Callithrix jacchus: one gene and its partners. The protein of the gene in region 1 purifies or fractionates together with the protein of each later gene. This does not show direct contact. Links are inferred from orthologs where the notes say so. Each region holds a gene or a part of one and is shown in the gene's direction. Other genes may lie near its edges.

The links. The genes of interacting proteins can lie anywhere in the genome.
Region 2: the proteins of POLR3C (region 1) and POLR3B fractionate together in Homo sapiens (co-fractionation; 4 studies listed by BioGRID and IntAct, with this or other methods). This does not show direct contact. The link is inferred for Callithrix jacchus from reciprocal best matches to the Homo sapiens genes POLR3C and POLR3B.
Region 3: the proteins of POLR3C (region 1) and protein POLR1D purify together in Homo sapiens (affinity purification with mass spectrometry; 3 studies listed by BioGRID and IntAct, with this or other methods). This does not show direct contact. The link is inferred for Callithrix jacchus from reciprocal best matches to the Homo sapiens genes POLR3C and POLR1D.

The regions. Positions count from the first base shown.
Region 1 is NC_133519.1:8,259,192-8,263,224, forward strand, and holds the start of POLR3C (DNA-directed RNA polymerase III subunit RPC3), read left to right. Parts: upstream 1-1,233; 5' UTR 1,234-1,704; coding exon 1,705-1,723; intron 1,724-2,956; coding exon 2,957-3,123; intron 3,124-3,976; coding exon 3,977-4,033. Other genes in the region: E3 ubiquitin-protein ligase RNF115, read right to left, coding at 933-1,034. UniProt on the Homo sapiens protein: DNA-dependent RNA polymerase catalyzes the transcription of DNA into RNA using the four ribonucleoside triphosphates as substrates.
Region 2 is NC_133510.1:109,225,036-109,228,975, forward strand, and holds the start of POLR3B (DNA-directed RNA polymerase III subunit RPC2), read left to right. Parts: upstream 1-1,140; 5' UTR 1,141-1,215; coding exon 1,216-1,287; intron 1,288-1,453; exon of another isoform or gene 1,454-1,543; intron 1,544-3,940. UniProt on the Homo sapiens protein: Catalytic core component of RNA polymerase III (Pol III), a DNA-dependent RNA polymerase which synthesizes small non-coding RNAs using the four ribonucleoside triphosphates as substrates.
Region 3 is NC_133506.1:146,817,298-146,821,405, forward strand, and holds the start of protein POLR1D, read left to right. Parts: upstream 1-1,308; 5' UTR 1,309-1,400; coding exon 1,401-1,426; intron 1,427-2,296; coding exon of another isoform or gene 2,297-2,672; exon of another isoform or gene 2,673-2,871; intron 2,872-4,108. Other genes in the region: uncharacterized protein LOC144582762, read right to left, coding at 1-736; POLR1D (DNA-directed RNA polymerases I and III subunit RPAC2), read left to right, coding at 1,401-1,426, 2,297-2,672.

The DNA.
Region 1 (4,033 bases):
TCATTGTGTTGCCCAGGCTGGTCTGAAACTCCTGGCCTCAAGCAATCCTCCTGCCTCGACCTCCCGAAGCACTGAGATTACAGACCTGAGCCTGACCTACCAAAGTATTTTCTTCACGGCTACAGCACTGCCTCTCAAGGGGCTAACAGTCTGGCAAAAAGTCGTGAAAACATTCTGTCGGGGACCTTTTTCTTATGTGAAGAAAGACACAAGGCACGCGGGGCAGGTGGGGGGAGCAGAACAATGGTATTAAAGACACTGGCAGCATGACAATCAAAATAAACCAAGTTGAAACAATACGTCCTGCCTTCTTCCTAAAGCCATTTCCTTCATCAGTGATAGGAGTGCAGGCCGTCTGCAAGGCATTAATAGGGTGCTGTTTTCACCTTCACAACGACCCTGGAAACCACTGAAAAGCAAAATGCCCCTTCCCGCCCCATTCTGTGCTTCCTTCCCTAGAGACAACCGAATAGGGACAATCCTCAGCAATCCGCTATTTTGCTTCGCTGAGAAGAGGGGTCGGGGGGGGGGCGGTTAAAAGTGTGAAAATAGAGGAAGGTGAGAAGACACAGAGGAAAGAGTACGGGGGAAGGTCACCGTGGGAAAAAGACGAGGTATAAAAGAGTGCGAGAAAATTGATGGGAGAGTTGTCAAAGAAAAACTTGCTAAAGAAAAAGAAAGATGGGGGGGGGTGGTAAAGACGTGAGGGCAGGTGGAACAGCCCAGGATGAGGAAGAGGTGAGCAGGAGGTACAGCGCCGGGACCGTGACGCCCGGGGCTTAGGGCCAGCGGCTGCGGACACAGGGCAGCAGGTACTCGGCAGACCGATGCCAGGCGAGTCGAGCGTGTGCGGAAAGCCCCAGACCTAGTTCGGGGACATCGGGGCCAGGAATCTATGCGGTTCCCGAGTACAGAGGGCATGGGGCTCTTACCGGTAGTTTGGGGCTGACCTCGCCCTTGCAAAAGTGGCAGAAAAACCGGTGGGCAGCCACGGCGGCGCCCGAGTCCGCCCCGGCCGCCGAGGCCTCCGCCATTTTTGTCCTCCGCCGCGGCCGTCCGAGAGGGCAGCCGGCCCGTCCCTCTCCAGGCCGCTACCTCTCGAGCTGCAGTCGCCGTCGCCGTCGCCGCCGCCGCCTCGGTACGGCCCACCGCTTCAGAGCCCGCGTCGGTCACGTGAGCCGGCCCGACCCAGAGAGGCGGCGGCGCTGACGGCGACCCTGCGGCCCGCCTCCCAGAACCAAAGAGGAGCCGGAAGGAGCGGCAACCCGCCCGCCTGCCTGCTCCTCAAGCAGCCCCTCGCGGGTCCTCCAGCCTTCCAGCGAGAAGAAAGGAAGAGCGTCCCCGGAAGCCGCCGAAACTCGGGGCGGGGGGGGTAGAGCGGCACGAGCTTTTCGCCTTTCTGCGTTGTGTTCCGTGGCCGGCCTCTTCCTAGAAAGGGCGGTGGGCTCCACCTCCGCTCGGAAGGCCAGCGGGAGCCGCAGGAAGCCGCCGCGAGGAGCTCGGAGGCGTTGGGTTTGGAGCCTCTGGATTGCGCTGACCCTGAGGTTAGTGGAAAATGCTGTCGGCGCGAGGCGGCGCTGACTCTGACCGAGAGACCGAGTCTGGAAGGCGAACCTATGTAAAGGGAGTGAAGAGCTAGGAGCCAAGCGCCTTGGAAGTCCTTTCCGAGGATGGCAAGGGGTCTGGGGATGCTTCTCCAAAGATATGTGCATGGATCAAACAGGTCTCTGGTGATACTTAGGCGGGGGTGCCAAAGACTTGGCTTCTTAAGAATTGGTAGCAATTTGTAATAACGAAATAATCATATAATCAACTACATCAATTTCTGATTGTGTCAACTTTGTCAAGGAGTACAAGTTTCAGGAATGAATACTGCCCTGAAAACAATGTAACCTCATCTCCTATTTGACACGCCCTGTTGAGAAGCAGTCCTTTACCTCCTAAATTTCTTTTTCGAAATTATCATTTCCTTTATGGGCTGAGAATGTTCACTGAGAATGAACACTACCTGCTCACTCCTACCGGGCTGTGAACAGTGACCTTAATTCTCCTAAGCAATGAAGTGTGACAGACTGCGAAATAATCTACTCCCTATCTTTAAAGAAAATCAGAATCACGCATAGTCCCAGAAAGATAAATTTGATGCATAGTCTTTCTCTATGCATACATTTTTCCTTTTTTTTACAATAATCGAATGTTAATTTTTTGCAGCTTCTGTCACTTAATATATTATGAATAATTTTCTGCACGAATACATGTGGTACTTAATAACTTTAAATGTCGGTGTAGTATGCCATCATTTACTATTAGACATTAGATTGTTTCCAGTAAGTCGGTATCATACAGAGAACTAGTGACTTTATTATTATTTTATTTATTTATTTTTTTAAGACGGGGTTTCACCATGTTGGTCAGGCTGGTCTTGAACTCCCGACCTCAGGTGATCTGCCCGCCTTGGCCTCCAAAGTGCTTGGATTGCAGGTGTGAGCCACCACGCCCGGCCGACTTTATTATTATTATGGTTTGTTTCGTGCCTCATCCTCCTGAGTAGTGGGGACTAAAGGCACATGCCACCACACCCAGCTAATTTTATTTTATTTATTTATTTTTATTTTTTATTTTTTGTATTTTTAGTAGAGACAGGGTTTCACCATGTTGGCCAGGCTGGTCTCGAACTCCTTACCTCAAGTGATCCGCCTGCCTTGGCCTCCCAGAGTGCTGGGATTACAGGCATGAGCCACTGCGCCTGGCGACTTGATTAACTTTTTATTCTTTCCTTGGACATAGTATCCAAAAAGAAATTGCTGTTTTAAAGATATGCAAGATTTTTAAGGCTTTTTGATATGTGTTGTCAAACTGCCCTCCAGAGAGAACGCATGAATTTACAGTGAGCAGCTCTGCTTCCAGCATGAAAGAAAGACTTTCCATCGTACTGTTCCGGTGTTTTTTCCCCTAGCCCTCAGACTCCCCAGTACAATGACTCAAGCAGAAATTAAGCTCTGTTCTTTGTTGCTGCAAGAGCATTTTGGAGAGATTGTAGAAAAGATTGGAGTCCACCTGATAAGAACTGGCAGCCAGCCACTAAGAGTAATTGCCCATGACACAGGGACATCGCTGGATCAGGTACGTCTAAATGACATTAATTTTCTCTCATTTCTTTCACTAATTTATTTCACTCACCTTTGAATATTGTTCTTCTCACCCCAGAAAAGGAAAAAATGAAAAAGCCTGCCCTGGGAGCAAACAATGTTATTTGGGGGAGAAAAGGATGGGACTTAGGCATCAACATTTTCTTTCTCAGAGTGTTTCTAGTTCATCACAGCTTCTTAGGCAAATCTTTGCTCTTCCCATGCCAGACCTCATTTATTCACAGTAAGTCTGCTAACCTCAGTACTGCTTTTAAGGAATGAGAATGGGCCGGGCGCGGTGGCTCAAGCCTCTAATCCCAGCACTTTGGGAGGCCGAGGAGGGCGGATCATGAGGTCAAGAGATCAAGACCATTCCCGGCCAACATGGCGAAACCTCATCTCTACTAAAAATACAAAAATCAGCTGGATGTGGTGGCGCGTGCCTATAGTCCCAGCTACTCAGGAGGCTGAGGCAGGAGAATTGCCTGAACCCAGGAGGCGGAGGTTGCAGTGAGCCGAGATTGTGCCACTGCACTCCAGCCTGGTGCCTGGTGACAGGGTGAGACTCTGTCTCAAAAAAAAAAAGGAATGAGAATGATAGAAGGAAAGTAAATTGTGTTTTGTTTTGAAGGATAAGGATCAGAGAAACGATAGCAAGGAATCTTCCTGATTTCTTGTATTGATATATGATTCTTATTAGCTACTCCAATGGAGAGAGGAAATAAGTGCAAAGATTCTTACCTAGCCATTTTCTGATGCTTGGTAAGCTGTTGGACAAAAAACTGCCAGCAGTAATGAGCTATATCTTCAGGTCTTTCCTCTCTTTCTTCTCTTTATGTCCCATCCAGGTGAAAAAAGCCCTGTGTGTTCTTGTCCAACATAACCTGGTGAGTTATCAAGTGCAC
Region 2 (3,940 bases), on another chromosome or scaffold:
CAGATATCAGCGCAATGTTTAGAAAATACAAGCACTGAAATTTAGGTAGCTTATTAGGAAATAAGAACAATTAACCTGGTGCAAGAGTTCTACCTTTATGGGGGAGAAATTGGAAAGCCTATATGTACTTGCACATTTTCATAACTTTTCTTATAACTGTAAAATATACATAAAACTTAGCATTTAACCATTTAAAATGATGTACAGATCAGCAGCATTAAATACATTCACATCGTTGTGCAACCATCACCACTATCCATCTATAGAACTTTTGCATCTTCCCAAACCGAAACTCTGTACCCATTAATTATGGTGCATTTTGTCTCGTTTTTTTCTAACAGGATTTTTCTTTCTATTGATTTGTATGAGCTCATTTTAAATTAGAGAGGCCAGCCCTTTGTCATCTGCCAATTTGTTTTTTGTTAATTCTATTCGTTTTTAAAAATATGTTCATAGAATCACTAAATCAGGTTTAGAATATAAAATCCTCTATGAATTGACTGTGTTGCCGTCTTGAAAGCCTTCATCATCTCAATGTTATGAATATATTCACTTACATTTTCGTCTAAGTTTTTGTTAACATTTCAATATTTAAACCACATAGGATTCACTCAGATGTATTTTATCCCCAAATGGGTAATCAGCTCTTCAAACATCATTTACTAGACAGGCCATCCTTCCCCTACCGTCGTAAATGTCATCTTTTCATACTAAATTTCTCCATGCGTTGGTATATACTCGTACATCTTCCATTTAGTGCTTCTGAGAATTTTCAACACTATTCCATTACACTCATGTACCATTTATTTAACCAATCACCTTTTATTAGGCACCTTTTATTAGTTCAAGTTGCGTAAATTATGCGTTTACACATTTCTTCGGATTACTTTTTAAATGACAACCACTGTGTTTTGCTGGTCTCAAGCATCAGAGAATTGGCAAGAAATCTGACAGCTGCGGTTTAGAATAACCCGCGCCAGATCTCCGAGCTACACCAGAGGGCGCAGTTTCCCGACTCGGCTTCGGTCACATCCGGGTTCCACCGCAGATTCGAGCTGGGAGCAGGCGGAACCTTTCTGCTGCGTCTCTAGCCAACAAGCACGGCGGGGACAGTTTAGGCCTCCGCGCACCGTTCCCCGGGAGTCTTGCAGTTTGCTTGGGGCAGGGAAGGCGTGCGCGGAGGTTTTATCTGTTTCTGTCTCCTTCGTGAGCAGTATGGACGTGCTGGCGGAGGAGTTTGGGAACCTGACGCCCGAGCAGCTGGCTGCGCCGATCCCTACTGTAGAGGTGAGTGCCAGGCACGCAGGCAGCGTCAGCGGCCGAGAGGCGCCTTGAGGGGGCGTTGCCCAGAGTGTTCGGGCCGGCAAGGGGGCGGGCTTGCGGTTTCTGCGCATGAGCTGGGGTTCTGCGCATGAGCTGGGGTTCTGCGCATGCTCACAGCGTCCCGCGTGCTAGTCTTCACAGCCGGACTCCGCGTGCGCGAGTGAAGGCAAAGCCAGGAAGAGCTGTCAGCCGCTGCTGGGGTGGAGCTCTTCCAATATAGGTGTGCGTGGAGAGCACTGGCCCTCGCACTTACTTTGGGGGACGTATTGCATCTTTTCAGTCTTATAAAGGACACTGAGGGCCGGGGAGCTCAGGCCATTTGCATGAGGGACCACAGCTGGCTGTGGTGGTAAAACCAGATCTTCTGAATTCCAGGCTAGTCATCTTTCTTTTTAACTTGGAGTTCAAGTTGGGGTTGCAGGGGAATTTTAGTTCTGAGTATTTACTAAAGAATTATGCCTGTGTGTTTTCTGGGGGAAAGGCTCCATACGTTTCCTCAGATTCTCAGAGGTTAAGGACAGCTGTCCCACAGCGAGCTGCCTAATGAAGTGTGGCTGTCGACATATCTTGTTTTCTGATAAGGCACATGTTATAGTCTCTCTGAGCCTCAAATTCTGCATTGACGTGGAATAGGGAAGTAGAGACATGTGACCAGAGAAGATAGCAAGGGAGAGATTTCAGGGAGAGAGAACAGGATACTTGAAACCTCTTAGGCAAGACCATTGGATGTTTTTGAGGAAGGAAAGTAAATCCAGTAGTATTCGAGTGAAGAAAAATAGAGGAGAAGAGATAAAAGATGGGGGTTAAGTAAGGGTCTTGATTATGAAAAGTTTGGATAAACATCTGACAGGGCTTGGACTTTGTCTTGGAGCAAAACTTTTGAAGGGTTTAAGCAGAATAGTGACATGATCAGTAAATCTGTCAGATTAATAAGAACCTCCTTGGCTAGGTGTGGTGGCTCATGCCTGTAATACCAGCAGTTTGGGAGGCCGAGGCGGGTGGAACACTTGGGCTCAAGAGTTGGAGACCAGCGTGGGCCACATGGCAAAACCCTATCTCTACAAAAAATACAAAAATTAGCCAGATGTGATGGCATGCACTTGTCCCAGCAACTCAGGAGGCTGAGGTGGGAGAATCACTTGAGCCTTAGAGGTCACGGCTGCAGTGAGCCATTACTATGCTACTGCACTCCAGCCTGCGTGACAGAGTGAGACCTTGTCTCAAGGAAAACGAAACAAAACCTCTTTATACTTTGACAAGTTAAGGAAGTTGAATTAGCAGTTCATCAGATTCAGTCTATGTGTGCATGCAATAGGCTGCTGGATCATCATCAGGCAAAATTGTACTGGCCGAGTGCGGTGGCTCACACTTGTAATCCTAGCATTTTGGAAGAACAAGGCGGGCGGCTCTCTTGAGGTCAGGAGTTCGAGACCAGCCTGACCAACATGGTGAAACCCCATCTCTACTAAAAAAATACAAAATTAGCCAGGCTTGGTGGTGCATGCCTGTAATCCAAGCTACTTGGGAGGCTAAGGCAGGAGAATTGTCTGAACCTGGATGGTGGAGGTTGCAGTGAGCTGAGATCGCGCTGTTGCACACCAGCCTGGGCAACAAGAGTGAAATCCCGTCTCGGGGTAGGGGAGAAAAAGCCAGCCTTCACTGCATTAAAAGCCTGGTACGTGGTTAATCTGGAACATGGACTCTTGTCAGTTTGACTACAGAGTCTTCATCCTTAACTGCTAATCAGACTGCCTCTCCAGAGCGCTGAAGAAATAAGCCTGGGAGATTTCTATTTCTTGTCTGAATTTACACAACTATGAAGTGATCAGTGCCATAATTGCAGCCTTCTGATTCAAGAATAAAGATTCTCTTCTGGCACTCTCCACCATCACCTCTAAAAGGTCTTGAGTTCTTAATCTATGCATGTCTGAAATCTCATTTCCCACTGTTTTCCAACCCAGAACCACTCTTCTCTCTTACCTCCAAACTGGCCTACTTGGCACCTGACTTGTCCCAATCCAGTCTGTTCTTTGCTCTGCAGCAGAGCTGTCCATTTAAACACACAAACATGATTATATTGCTCCCTTGGTTAAAATTCTTCAATCTCTGCCTGCTGCTCTTAGGGCAAAATACTAGTGTTTACCGCGTTTGTAATACATTTCTGCAGTCTGGCCACTTCTTACTTCTGTAGCCTCCTTTCCCGTGATTCTCTCCGTCTCTCCCATGAGATCTTTCTACTCTGCTCACACAGTTCCTTCTGGATCTCTCACCCATTCCTATTTGTAGATTAAGTCCCACATTTCTATGATATAACTTCCCTAGGAAGGCCTTTTGTGATTCTACCAGAAGATGGTAGATCTCTGTACTTGCTGCCATTTCCTTTTAAACTGAGATATTAAAATATTTATTGAAACTTTCCGACGTCAGTGTTTTCTCTGAAACTTTTTCTAGATAGGAGCTCAGTTTTGCTTGAACTGGCCATGCCTGGTGTGTTTTTTTGTGCTGAGGGTAGCACAGCATCACGGTAGTATGATAGAAGAAACAACACAAGCTTTGCAACCAATTGATCACTTATTTGTTGAATAAATATTTGTCATTATTACTGAGTACTTACCTG
Region 3 (4,108 bases), on another chromosome or scaffold:
CCGGGGGCCAGCGCCAAGGCCAAGCGGCCCAACCCGCACCCGGGCCAATCGGAAGCAGCACAGGGCGGGAGGGGGTGGGCCAGAGGGCGGCCCCGCCTATCCGAGAGCTCGGGAGGCGGGCCAGAAGAGGGACCGTCACTCCCGGGTTAGAGTGAGACCACTCCGCCCTCGCTGCCTGCCTCCCCCACCCGCCTCTGGCTGTCCCCGCCGGCCGCCTGATTCTCCTGCGGAAGCCCCGCTGGCGAGGTGCCTGCGCGCACCCTCGGCAGCCGCCAGGAATGGCACAGCTGGGGAGGGAGTGGACATCCAGGGGAATCGCGGGGAGGGGTGGGGGAGGAGAACAGGAGGCGCAGGGAAGCAGAAACATAGGTGCGCAAGACCACAGGGCAGCTGGAGTAGGGCAGGGTCGGGGCCGGCGGCCAGGGGAGAAGAAGGGGCGATTCGCGAGTAAGCCCACCTGAGGGAGTGCGGCGAGGGCCGGGACGCAGGGAGCAGGGCGGAGAGCGAGCCCAGGCGGTGAAAGGTTGCCGAGGCGGGGGCTGGGCACCTGGGAACAAAGGTGAGGGCGGGTTCCGCAGGTGAGGAGGTTTGAGGAGCCACGGGGGGTAAAGGGAAAAGGACGTCCACTGCGGGAGAGGACGCGCCCCGGGGGTATAAGGAATTCTAGGACCGAAGAAAGGATGAGGTGGGAAACAGTTTTCTTCCAAACTCTCGCTCCCTCAAAAGAGAAAGACATTTCTTTCCTGCCCTTTTTTGACCCAGTTGAGAATGCAGCTGCAAGCTCCAGGGTCAAACACCGCCTTCAACCCTAGTGTTCTGTTGTGACTCATCTCGCACATGACCCCCTTTCCAAGGTGTGTTGACCGACTAGAGCCTAAGCCTGTTGTCCCACGAAAGGCCCGGGAGGGCCGAGGTCCTGGGAAGGGCCACCCTGGGTCGACACGGCCCCAGTGGGGGAGTCGGGCCTATTTCGGACTTGCCACTGTGAAGTTAAGTGATTTGGGGGCGTCAGGTAAGGCCCCGCTACTTCGCCATCACCTGGTGAAAGGTACCAGGGCTGACCCGGGGCTCCCGCAGGCAGGTCTGGGCCTCGGGGTAAAGCGGCGCTGGCCCCACCCTCTGCCCCTCCTGCGGCGGGTGGCCTCGCTGGGGCGCCCAGGTGAGCCAAGGGGCGGTGAGCCACGGCCGACCCCGAGTCGGGGCGGGGATTGGGGGCGGAGCCTCATGCCCCGCCCCGCCGTTGGGCCCTGCCGCGCCGCTGCGGCTCCTCCTCTCTCCTTCCGTCCTCCGCGCTTTCCGTCGGTCGGTCCTTCCTTCCTGCTTCGTCTCCACGCCTCGAGCTATGGGGCAGAGCCCCCGATACGTTAGCACCACCTGAGGACCCGGAAACCGCCTCCACGATGGAAGAGGACCAGGAACTGGAGAGGTAATGGCCAAGGAGTAGGCGGGCGAAGCGGGCCGCGCCCAAGGGGATCGGGTGGCCGAGGGGCACGCGGCCCGGCCTGGCAGCCCCGGCCTGACTCCGGGCGCAGGGAAGAGGCGTGGAGAGAGAAGGGGGAAGAGACATGAATGTGTTTTAAATGAGAGGCTGAAAGGTACGCTAGCTATCAAGGAGGGAAGACAAGTTGGGAGACCAGAGTTAAGTCCCCGAACTGCCCACCCCCATTAGAACAGCAGCGTGTAAAATCACGCCCCGGGCCCCTGCCTCCTTGAGGACGGTACTGATGCCTGTGTCCCTGTAACTACTGCTCACTTTCCTTCTCTGTGCAGACTGCTCCTAAAGCCACTCCTCTGTGTACTGAGCTCTTATCCTCCCTCCTGCTTGACTCCTGGACCTTCCATTCTCCTAGTTTCCTTCTCTTGCAAAATGGAAGCTGCATTCCATTTTGGGCCTGCACATTGATCATCTGTATCCTCTATTTTTATACTGGAGCAATCGGGATTTCTATGCCTTTCAACCCCATTTTCATCCTCTAGCAGGACCCATCCTATTCCAATCTTATCCCTTGCTCGTGACTCTACCAAAGAATATTTTTGCAAACACTTAAGTTTGTGTTTTTCTAAGAAAGCTCCCCTTGTGGCCAGTGTGGATGGTCAAATGGAGCATGGAAAAACCGGAGGCAATAAATTAAATATTTATTGATAGAGTTTGTGGAGGCAGGAAAATGAGAGGCAAATAGTTCTGTGTAGCTGGAGTAGATTGATAACGTGTTGCAATGTGATATAGTAAATGAAAAAAGCTAGTTACAAAACCATATTCAGTATGATCTCATTTTTATAAAAAATATGTGTGTAGAAAAATATCTGGATTGAAGACCTCAATGGCTGAAGGCGAGAGGAAGACAGCCCTGGAAATGGTCCAGGCAGCTGGAACAGATAGACACTGTGTGACATTTGTATTGCACGAGGAGGACCATACCCTAGGAAATTCTCTGCGTTACATGATCATGAAGAACCCGGAAGTGGAATTTTGTGGTTACACTACGACCCATCCTTCAGAGAGCAAAATTAATTTACGCATTCAGACTCGAGGTGCCCTTCCAGCTGTTGAGCCATTTCAGAGAGGCCTGAATGAGCTCATGAATGTCTGCCAACATGTGCTTGACAAGTTTGAGGCCAGCATAAAGAACTATAAGGAACAAAAAGCAAGCAGAAATGAATCCACATTCTAGTCCCTTATGCAGTATACAAGGAGAACTGTCCTCTAGGATATTCTCTTCCTGATGGTGCAGAACTCAGAATTAGAAGCTTGTGATCAAAGCATACTCTGTCCTTCAGAAAGGCATGATTCTAGCTGTTGACCCCTTGTAGCTGTTGGAATCTCTGCAAGAACCTCTGTATTCTTCTAATAAATTCCCTCTTTTATTTAAACTAGTTTGACTGGTTTGTGTTCCATGCAAACAAATGGTCCTCGAGGATACCTTTTTTTTCTTTCAATTAAGCCAGCATGGAAAATGAGGAAACTGAAAATATTAGACGCCTAGACAAGAACTGTGATTATGGGAATTAAAAGGAGTATATATCCATGTCTGTAATTGGGGTGGTGGGGGTAAGGGCAGAGACAAAAAGCATGACTCCAGTTAGACTTTGGTTGGTTTAAGAAAAGAAGAGGATAGGGTGGGGACTTGGCTTGTTGCTAAACATTTTTGCTTTTAAAGAATTATGTCATTTGCTGTGTCTGGTAGACTGGGCAAGGGTGGGAAATAATTTGAAAGAATGGTAAGAATTCTGGGTTTACATGAGAGTTTTAGGTGGTATCAGGTTCCATCTTTGAGGCATTTACAGGAAGGATACCAGTTTACTGCTTGAATTTCGGGATATAGATGTTTAGTCATGATCTTAGTAAGGTAAGACCTTTTGATTATGTTACAGGAGGAAACTGGGATGACTAGATAACGTTTTCAGTCCTTAGGTAGGTGTAGCCTAGGGTAACATAGAAGCCCTATTTGAAAAAAGGTAAAGCCAAGGAGAAGGAAAACTCCATGTGGGGGAAATGACCGTTCTAGAAAACACATACACCATCCGCCAGTGCTCTGTGCTTTGAGGCCTTGTTTATGCTACCCCTGCTTCCTGGGGCAATCTTACTCCTGCCATACTCTTAAATCAAAACTTATGTGTTGGGCCCCCCAGCCTAGTGTGGGTACTTTGTGCTTTCATTACACCCTGTGTTTCCTGGCCTTGGCATTTACTGTGCTGTTGGTAGTGCTTGTCTACCCAGTATACCAACTTGCAGGTCAGCATGATTCTGTTACCTGGAACACCTGACAGGTAGTGGACACTTAGTAAATACTCTGTGAATTCATGAAATTAGTTATGGCTTGCAGCTTTTCAGTCACTCAAACCTGACCTCTAATACTAGCCTGCCACAGAGCCTACATTTCTTACACGCAGTCAACTTCTTTAAAGATATTTCCATATTTTTGAGCACTAGTATGTACGAGGCCTTGGGGATAGATATATAGCTATTGTGGATGAGACAGAGTTAGTCCTGTTTTCGTAAAGCGTGTGTTATAATTAGAGCCCCTTTTAAAAAAAATTGTGAAGCTCAGCATGGTGGCTCACGCCTGGGAAGCCAAGGTGGGTGGATCACTTGAGCCCGGGAGTTCGA